Linked DNA regions of Rattus norvegicus. The main gene of each other region encodes a partner of the protein of the gene in region 2 in a complex. Links are inferred from orthologs where the notes say so. Each region holds a gene or a part of one and is shown on either strand. Other genes may lie near its edges.

The links.
Region 1: Gtf2f1 (region 2) and Polr2g share a complex: the UniProt entries of both Homo sapiens proteins name them as parts of the TBP-based Pol II pre-initiation complex. The link is inferred for Rattus norvegicus from reciprocal best matches to the Homo sapiens genes GTF2F1 and POLR2G.

What each region holds. Positions count from the first base shown.
Region 1 is NC_086019.1:215,118,636-215,122,921, forward strand, and holds the start of Polr2g (DNA-directed RNA polymerase II subunit RPB7), read right to left. Parts: upstream 3,022-4,286; 5' UTR 2,948-3,021; coding exon 2,936-2,947; intron 2,824-2,935; exon of another isoform or gene 2,821-2,823; coding exon 2,711-2,820; exon of another isoform or gene 2,106-2,710; coding exon 1,946-2,105; exon of another isoform or gene 940-1,945; coding exon 889-939; exon of another isoform or gene 781-888; coding exon 715-780; exon of another isoform or gene 632-714; coding exon 560-631; exon of another isoform or gene 176-559; coding exon 142-175; coding exon of another isoform or gene 65-141; exon of another isoform or gene 1-64. UniProt on the Homo sapiens protein: Core component of RNA polymerase II (Pol II), a DNA-dependent RNA polymerase which synthesizes mRNA precursors and many functional non-coding RNAs using the four ribonucleoside triphosphates as substrates.
Region 2 is NC_086027.1:1,937,376-1,941,824, forward strand, and holds the start of Gtf2f1 (general transcription factor IIF subunit 1), read right to left. Parts: upstream 2,823-4,449; 5' UTR 2,697-2,822; coding exon 2,685-2,696; intron 2,599-2,684; coding exon 2,552-2,598; intron 1,296-2,551; coding exon 1,223-1,295; intron 1-1,222. UniProt on the Homo sapiens protein: TFIIF is a general transcription initiation factor that binds to RNA polymerase II and helps to recruit it to the initiation complex in collaboration with TFIIB. It promotes transcription elongation.

The DNA.
Region 1 (4,286 bases), on a different chromosome or scaffold from region 2:
CCAAAGACAAGGTATCTTGGATTTCCAAGGGAACAGAATGAGAACTTATATCTCTGACTGGCATTTAAATCCTACAGCCATCCCCTCTCCAGCACATCCTTTCTCCAGGGAATGGTCCCAGCACCCATGTCAGGCACTCACCCAAGTAGTCATCCATCAGAGAGCCAATAGCAAACTGCGAGAGGAAAGGGAGAAAGGATGGTGAGGTGGGGCCCCACCCCATTCCGAGCCTTCTGTCATCTATTCCCTGCTCATGGACACAGAGCACAGAGCCCCCAACAACTGTGGATGGCAAGAGGTCAACAGCGCAGATGGGGAAAGAGCTTGCTCCAACCCTGATGACCTGACCTCCACCCCCAAAATCCACAGCAGCATGCGATGACCTGAAGGCGGTCTAAATGTCACACTGTGGCGAGTGTGTATGCCCACACATCCACATAAATATGTTCTACAAAAGAAACGAGAAACCCACAGCTGTCAGCTGTGAATGATGACTTTGGATTATTTATAATCCTACTACCCAGGAGGCTAAGGCAGGCCAGTCAAGCAAGAGACTCACAATGTCATTCTTGTCTACACGTGTCCCTACAATCTTCAAGCGTATCTCATCGTCCTGCTGAATTACAATGTCCTGTGGAAAGGAGAGAGCAGGGTCATCAAGCAGACTCAGGCCTGGTCCTCATCCCTCTCACCAACTCCTCCTCATTCGCTCACCTCATCCATGGTCTTGTAACAAGGGGGGTTCGAATTTGGATCAAACTCCATCTCTGAAGGGATGGACTAGAAGGAAATTGACACAAAGGTTAGCATTTCAAATAGCTGCATCAAAGGATGAGAGTCAGGGGCTGGTTTCTCCTCCTCGGCCTCACCCCACACGCCCAGACTCACGTGTCGAGAGATGAAGCAGGACATGGGCCCAATTTCTGTGAAAAGTCCAACCTAGAAGGAAAATGACCGTGCTTCAAACGCTCTGAAGCATCTTTACCTGATTTCTAGGCACATTATTCATGTTTCTTAACAGTTTAAATTGTAGCATTTGTTTTAATTTCTCTCTGTGTAATCTTTCATTTCTTTACATTTTTGTTCTTCATTATTTTTATGTGTAAGAATATTCTGACCTCACATGTGCCTGTGCACCATGTACCTGCAGTGCCCATGGAAGCCAGGAGAGGGTATTGGGACCCTGCAGAATTAGGAGTTACAGATTATTGTGAGCCATTGGCTGGGTGCTGGGAGTCAAACCCAGGTCTTATAGAACCAGTAGGTGCTCTAAACCACTGAGCTATAGACCCCTTAGCCTTTAAGAAACTTAATTTCTGAGGCTAGAGAGATAGCTCAGTGGTTAAGAGCACTGACTGCTCTTCCATGGGTCCTGAGTTCAATTCCCAGCAACCACATGGTGGCTCACAACCATCTGTAATGAGATCTGATGCCCTCTTCTGGTGTGTCTGAAGAGAGCTACAGAGGAGTGTGTATAATAAATAAATCAGGGGCTAGAGAGATGGCTCAGCGGTTAAGAGCACTGATTGCTCTTCCAATGATCATGAGTTCAATTCTCAGCAATCACATAGTGGCTCATAATCATCTGTAATGGGATCTGATGCCCTCTTCTGATGTGTCTGAAGACAACAGTGTACTCATATAAATAAAAATAAACAAACAAACCTTAAAAAAAAAAAAAAAAAAAAGAAAAGAAAACCCAAAACTAAGATAAAATAAAATAAATCTTGACAACCACAAAAGGCTTAAGGCAACTAATAAGTGGACTGGGAATTGAACTCTCACCTTAGGAAATACCCCGTAACCTTTCTTTTTTTTTTTTTTTTTTTTCTTCTTTTTTTTCGGAGCTGAGGACCGAACCCAGGACCTTGCACTTCCTAGGCAAGCGCTCTACCACTGAGCCAAATCCCCAACCCCATAACCTTTCTATAAATAATACTCTTACCTTGTTGACCTGAGTGACCACAGCATCCACCACTTCCCCTTTAAAGGGCCGGAAAACAATAGCTTTGTATTTCACTGGATAAAGAACAAAACCTCGGCCCGGCTGGATCACACCAGCACCAATATTGTCGATGGTAGTGACAGCAATCACAAAGCCATATCTGCAGGAAAGATGAAAAAAGACAGCTACTGTATGTGAAGAGCCTCTAAAAAGCCACCAGCAATAGTCTGCGTGTGATGGAACCTCTGCTCGAACAGCTCGATGACCAAGAAGAGACAGAACTCAGATTAGCACCTGAAATATTAAATGGTGCTCTCACAATTGTACAGTAAATGCCCAAGAAGGCACAGATATGCTGACATACACCTATTCTCTCAGTACCAGGACTTGCCAGGTCAGTGGTGAGACAGGTCTTTCGAAAACCACAAATCAGACAGAAAATTGTGACGAAAACCTTTAATCCCAGCACTCAGTGGCAGGCAGTTCTCTGAATTAGAGGCCAGCTTGGTCCACATAGTGAGGCCATCTCGAAACCCAAAACATTTGCATAATAACGGTCTGATCTCGCATAAGCGAAGAAAATTTGGTTTAGCAACCTTTTAGAAGGCCCAAAATAGGCAAAAACTGGCTGCTTCGGATGCCTGGAGTGGTGAAAGAGTTCCTCAGAGTAAGTAACAAGCCCTGACTGAAGGAGTGAAGTAGAGGTTACAGAGTAGCGTTATTGTGCCTGCATTCAGCAGACGACACTGTGAATCAGACACTTACTTCCCAGTGCAGGTCCCCTCCACCTCGGTGAACAGCTTCTGCTTCACCGTGTTGAGCAAGTTGGGACCAAAGTAGCGTGGGTGCAGTAGGATCTCGTGCTCCAGGGAAATCTGCAGAGAAAGGAAGATGAAGACTCCGCCAGCCACACTGAGAACAGGAGGCGACCCGTCGGCCCTCCAGGCTCCTCCTGTCCCTGCCCTCACCGCTACCCCGCGTCCAGCTCACATGATAAAACATCTTCTGCAGAAGCTTGGACCGCAGAGGCCAGAACTCCCCAGGAAGGGACCTCGCCGGAAGCACTAGCAGAAGTCCCACCAAGTCTCCGCAGTCGCTTCCGCAGATTTGAGTCTTAACGCCATGGGCGGGGAAACGTGAAGCCCCGCCCCTCAGGCCTTCCCATCAGCGCTCATCAGCACAGCCAGGATTACACAGAAAAACCCGGTCTCGAAAAACCTTAAAAAAAAAAAAAAAAAAAAAAAAAAAAGGTTAAGAGGTCTGGCTTGTCGCCACATGCCTTTAAACCCAGCCGTGGCAGACAGATCTCTAAATTCAAGGCTAAGCCACATCTACAAAGTGAGTTCCAGGATAACCAAGACTGTGTATACAAACCCTATAAAAAAATTTGTTTTTGGGGTTGGGGATTTGGCTCAGAGGTAGAGCGCTTGCCTAGCAACCGCAAGGCCCTGGGTTCGGTCCCCAGCTCCGAAAAAGAGAAAAAAAAATTGTTTTTTAAATTTTATTTTAGGGGCTGAAGAATTAGCTCAGTCCTTAAGAGCACTTGCCAGCCCCCACAGGATAGCTCACAATCTTATCTGTAACTACAGTTCAGAGAGAACTGACACCCTCTTCTGGCTTCATTCAGCACTGCATGCTAGTGGTACACAGACATAATGCAGGCAGAACACCGATGCTTGTAAAATAAAAATAAAGATGAGGTAGTTGGGGAGATTGCTCAACAGTTAAAATCAATGGTTGCTCCTCCGAAGGATCCAGGTTTGATTCCTAGAACAAACATGGTAACTCAACTAGCTATATTTCAATCCTAGGGGATCCAGTGCCATCTGGGGCCTCCATGGACACTTCTCCCTTGTGGTGAACAGGCATAGATACAGCCAGAACATTCATACATATAAAATAAAAATAAAGGTTTTTACACATAAAATAAAAATAAAGCTCTCGAAGAGGACCTGAGTTCAATTACTAACACTGCACCCGAGGTCTCACAACTCCAGCTCGAAGGGGATCTGAAACTTTCTCATTGCCTCAGGAGGTACCAGCACTTGTGGGCTTGTACTCACATACAGATAACAGACATCATTGAGTACACCTAATTAAGAAGAAGTCACTTGGAAGTGTGGCACACGCCTTAAATCCCAATATTCAGGAACAAAAGGCAGGTGGGTCTTCAAGTTCAAGGCCAACCTGGTCTACAGCATGAGTTCCAGAACAGCCAGGGATACATTAAAAATGAAGGTGTCGGGGTTGGGGATTTAGCTCAGCGGTAGAGCGCTTGCCTAGCAAGTGCAAGGCCCTGGGTTCGGTCCCCAGCTCCGGAAAAAAAAAATGAAAGTGTCTT
Region 2 (4,449 bases):
ATAGTACTTGCTATATAGTCTGCATAAAGTATAGCCTGCAAAAGGACTGAGGCTTGAGTTCAAGCCCTAGGACCCACACAGCATAAAGTGAGAACCGACTCCTGCAAACTCTTCTCTGATCTCAACTCTGCATCCCTCACACACCTGTGGCCCAACAGATGTCATTTTAATAATAAGGTGTAGAGTGACTATGGAAGACAGCTGATGTCCACTCTAGCCTTGACATGCACAGCATGCCCACATGCACATATGCACACACACACGACTCTGGTCATGAGGAATGTGGGACTTACAACAGTAAAACAGACTGGTCCATGAGATCACGGAGACCACCCGAGGAAGGCTCAGGAGCAACCCAGACAATATGGAAATAGTAACATTTTAACATGACACCCAGAATACTGGGTAGTTTAAAACTTTGGCCTTTAACACTTTTTTCCTCTTAGTATTATCTAGAGAATCCTGTTATGTAGCTCAGGCTGTTCAAACTTATGATCCTCCTGCTTCCACCTCCCTGGTGCTGGGATGCTAGTATCCCTGGCTGTACCCATCTTGTGGTATGGTTTTATCCTTTCGAGACAGGGTCTCACTGTATAGGCAGTCTGCTCTGAAGCCCACTGTGCAGACCAGGCTGGCCTCAAAGTCAGAGATCCACTGACTCTGCTGCCAAGAACTGGCATTAAAGGTATGTGTCACTATGGCCTGCTGGCTTTATCTTAAAAACAAACACTCCAAACTTATAAAATGCATTTGTTTTTGTACATGACATGGCCTGCTTGTCATCTTGTTACCCGTTACTTTACTTTATAGTATACATATAGACATGGTCTATATATATATATATATATCCGGGGCTTCACTCAAGCTCACTATGTAGCCAAGGATGGTCTTCAATTTGAGATCCTATCCCCTTTCCCATGCTGGATAACAGGCGTGTGCCAGCCAACATGCCCATTATACATGGCGCTGGTGGTCCCCCTGGCCTCCTATATGCCAGATGAGTGCTCCATCAATTGAACCGTACCCTCAGGCTAGCTTCTTCTCTTTGAGATAGGATTTATTTAGTATAGGCTGGTCTAAAACACTCAGTCTTTCTACCTCAGCCACCAAATAGCTGGAATCACAGGTCTGCTGGGGCTACAGGTGTGGGCACTACTGTTTCAGTAAAGTCACCAGCCCAGGGTTAGGTCTCTGCCCCAGACACCCAGAGGCATACACTTACCTGGTTCCAGGTAGCAAAGTTGACTTTATCAGCTGCATTAAAAGCCATTATGTTGTATCTTTTGGCTGTGTTCCTGGAATGGGCAAGAAACTATTCAATCCATCGATTAGCCATTCAACAAATCTACGATTTACACCCTTGGTTGTAGGTAATTCTGGGAACTCAAAAAAGACTCGGGAACAATGGTCCTCAACCTTCCTAAAGCTATGACCCCTAATACCCCTATGACCCCCTCATGCTGTAGTGACCCAACCATAAAATTATTTTTGTTAGTTCATAACTGTAAGCTTGCTACTATCATGATTCATAATGTAAATATCTGTGTTTTCTGATGGACTTAGGCGACCCACAGGTTGAAAACCACTGCTCCAGTTTCTCAGGGATTTTTTAATTTTGTTTTTGTTTTGTTTTTTTTAAAGACTCCATCTCATCCAACCCCATATAAAGATCCATAGGCACCAGGCACTCTCACAACACACATCTATATACACACAGGCATACACAGAGATAACACTAAATCCTTAAGAAAAAAATGAACCGGGGGCTGGAGAGATGGCTCAGTGGTTAAGAGCACTGACTGCTCTTCCAGAGGTCCTGAGTTCAAATCCCAGCAACCACATGGTAGCTCACAACCATCTGTAATGAGATCTGATGCCCTCTTCTGGTGTGTCTGAACAGCTACAGTGTACTTATATATAATAAATAAATAAATCTTTAAAAAAAAAAAAGAAAAAAGAAAAAAATGAACCAAAGGTGTAGAGAACCTTTATGTAGAGAGGAAGGCAGGCAGGCAAGGGCTGGAGGTGAATGGGTCTTAGTGGGTTTCAAAGTCAGCCTGGTCAAACCGGCTAGACTACACAGTAAAACTGTGTCTTCAAAATAAACAAAAAAATAAAAGGGGACTAGGTGTAGATCAGTGGTACAGTGCTTGCCTACCACAGGCCCACCTAAGATAAAATTAGAAGTTGAGGGCCATGGCACTTGGCACAGAAAGCAGGATGTGTACTACTTGTGACCAGTTTGGAATTTTGTTTTATTTTGAGACAGGCTCTCACGATATGTAGCCCTGGCTGGTCTGGAACTCCCTCTATAGACCTGGCTGACCGCGAACTCAAAGAAATTCTCTTGTTTCTGCCTCCCAAGTGCTGAGATTAAAGGCAGCCACCATGTCTGGCCTGACCAGTCTGAAACAGGACAGAGTCACAGACCCTAACATTAACTACCAAGATTTACCAAGACATATTACTATGTCTTGGACGCGGCAGTAGGGCCAGCGTGGCAGGGGAACACAGGGCCGAGGTTCTAAAGTGTGGATGGACGGGGACTTACTTGGGGACTCGGACGACGTACTCAGTGACATTCTGGCTGCTGGAGCCCTGCAAAAGAACAGGAGTCTGTAAGGCGAGAAGAGGGCGCGGGGTCTGTTTTGCGACACCTCCATCCCCACCTCATTCATACTTACTAGAGCCGCCATGGCCGTTGCTCAAGCTGCTCCGGGTCGGCCAGACCTGGATGGTCTTGGTTGTGTCCCTCGGACCCAGGGAAAGCACCTTTCCTGGTTGTCACGTTAGTGTGATCCTGTGCTTTGGATTTCCAAACCCTTAAGTCTCCTAGAATGCTGGAAGACGAGAAAAAAAAGAGACTTAGAACGCTGCGCATGCGCCACAGCCTGACCCGGAAGTAGAACTGCCACACGGAGACGAGAGCTACCACTGTACCTAGTCTGTGTCTTCTCCAGCTTCTGAGCGAAATAAAGCTGCTTTCTCCCAGTGTTCTCTTTTACATCACGGATAACTTATAATCACGTGAGAATACGTCACTTCGTGACGTCAAGACGCGGGCAACGTGGAGCATCTTGGGTAGGGTGGGAATGGAGTCTTCTGGTGTTCGCGTCCTCGGTACTCTCGCGCAAGCGTAAATGTCCAAGAAGCGGGAGCGGAGGCCGCGTTGCCATGGCAACCGAGGCTCGCTCTGTGGAATGGCCTCCGGGGCTCTTCTGGGGTGGGTCTGAGATTCCGTTTTCTTTTGTGTCCTGGAGTCAGGGGATCCCGAGGATCTTGCAAAATGAGTCCCTTGTGACGTAAAGCGGAGCCGAGGAGTCGTTGCAGGGCAGAGACCCGGCCCCGGCGTACCCCAGCATTGCGGGCGGGATGGGTCTGTGCGAGTCCACGCTGCCCCAGCTGGGCAGAGCTTTACGGCCCCAGGAGAAGGGTAACAACATGGGGTAGTTGGTCTACATGAGGCAACGGAAGGGGGCGGTGGGCAGGTATCCCACCACCTGATTGTGCACACCAACCCTTGCACGACAGGAACGCATCTGCACATGCTCCCACCCCACCATTGGTTGATGCCTTTGGAATATAACTTGAGTAGAGGAGCCAGTGTCAGAGATGGAAAGTACAATTCTCGGGGGAGGAATCAGAAAAAGGGAGCCTGTGGGACTCATAGGAGTTGGGACCCTCAGAGGGTCAAGGGTGGTACAGACATTGAACCTGAGAAGGATGAGATATGGTGATTCCATGTTAGTCTTTACAGAACCATAAACAACTGACTCCACTGATGTATCTAGTAGCGGAGACATTCATTTCTTCACTTTCGGGGAGCGCACCGTGAGTTACAAAGGCTGGTTAGGAAGACTAAAGGGAGTCAAAAAGGACAAAGAACAAAGAACCATGACTGTGAAGGAGAGGAAAGGGTTGTGTGACTAGAGGCACAAGCAGGCAGGATAGAAAGGACCGCATGGTGGGTGGAGCAGGGTGCTATTGGGTGGGTTTGAGGGCCTTCCTCTTTCATTATCTGTAAAATGGGTTGATGGAGTCAGTAAGGCACTTCATGGAGGTCTGTGCAAAAGGCCGGTGGCCTGCTCAACAGAGGGAGCCTTCAGTGTGAGGCCAGGATCTCTTATAGACTCGTACTAGTACCCACTTTCTTCCCTGAACACCATAGACATCCTGAGGTATCCTCTGATCATCTTTGTGGTGGGGGGGCCTGGCTGCGGGAAAGGGACCCAGTGCAGAAACATGGCTATGAAATACGGCTTCTACCACGTGGAGCTGGGCCAGCTGCTGCGGGAGGAGGCTCAGAGAAGCACCCAGAGGGGCCGGCAGATCCGGGACATCATGCAGCAGGGACTCCTGGTACCCACGGTGAGCGTTCACAGGAGACAGGGGCATGGCCGGACAGGGTGTTCTGGCCCAGCCACTCACTGCCTTGCTGCATTAACACTG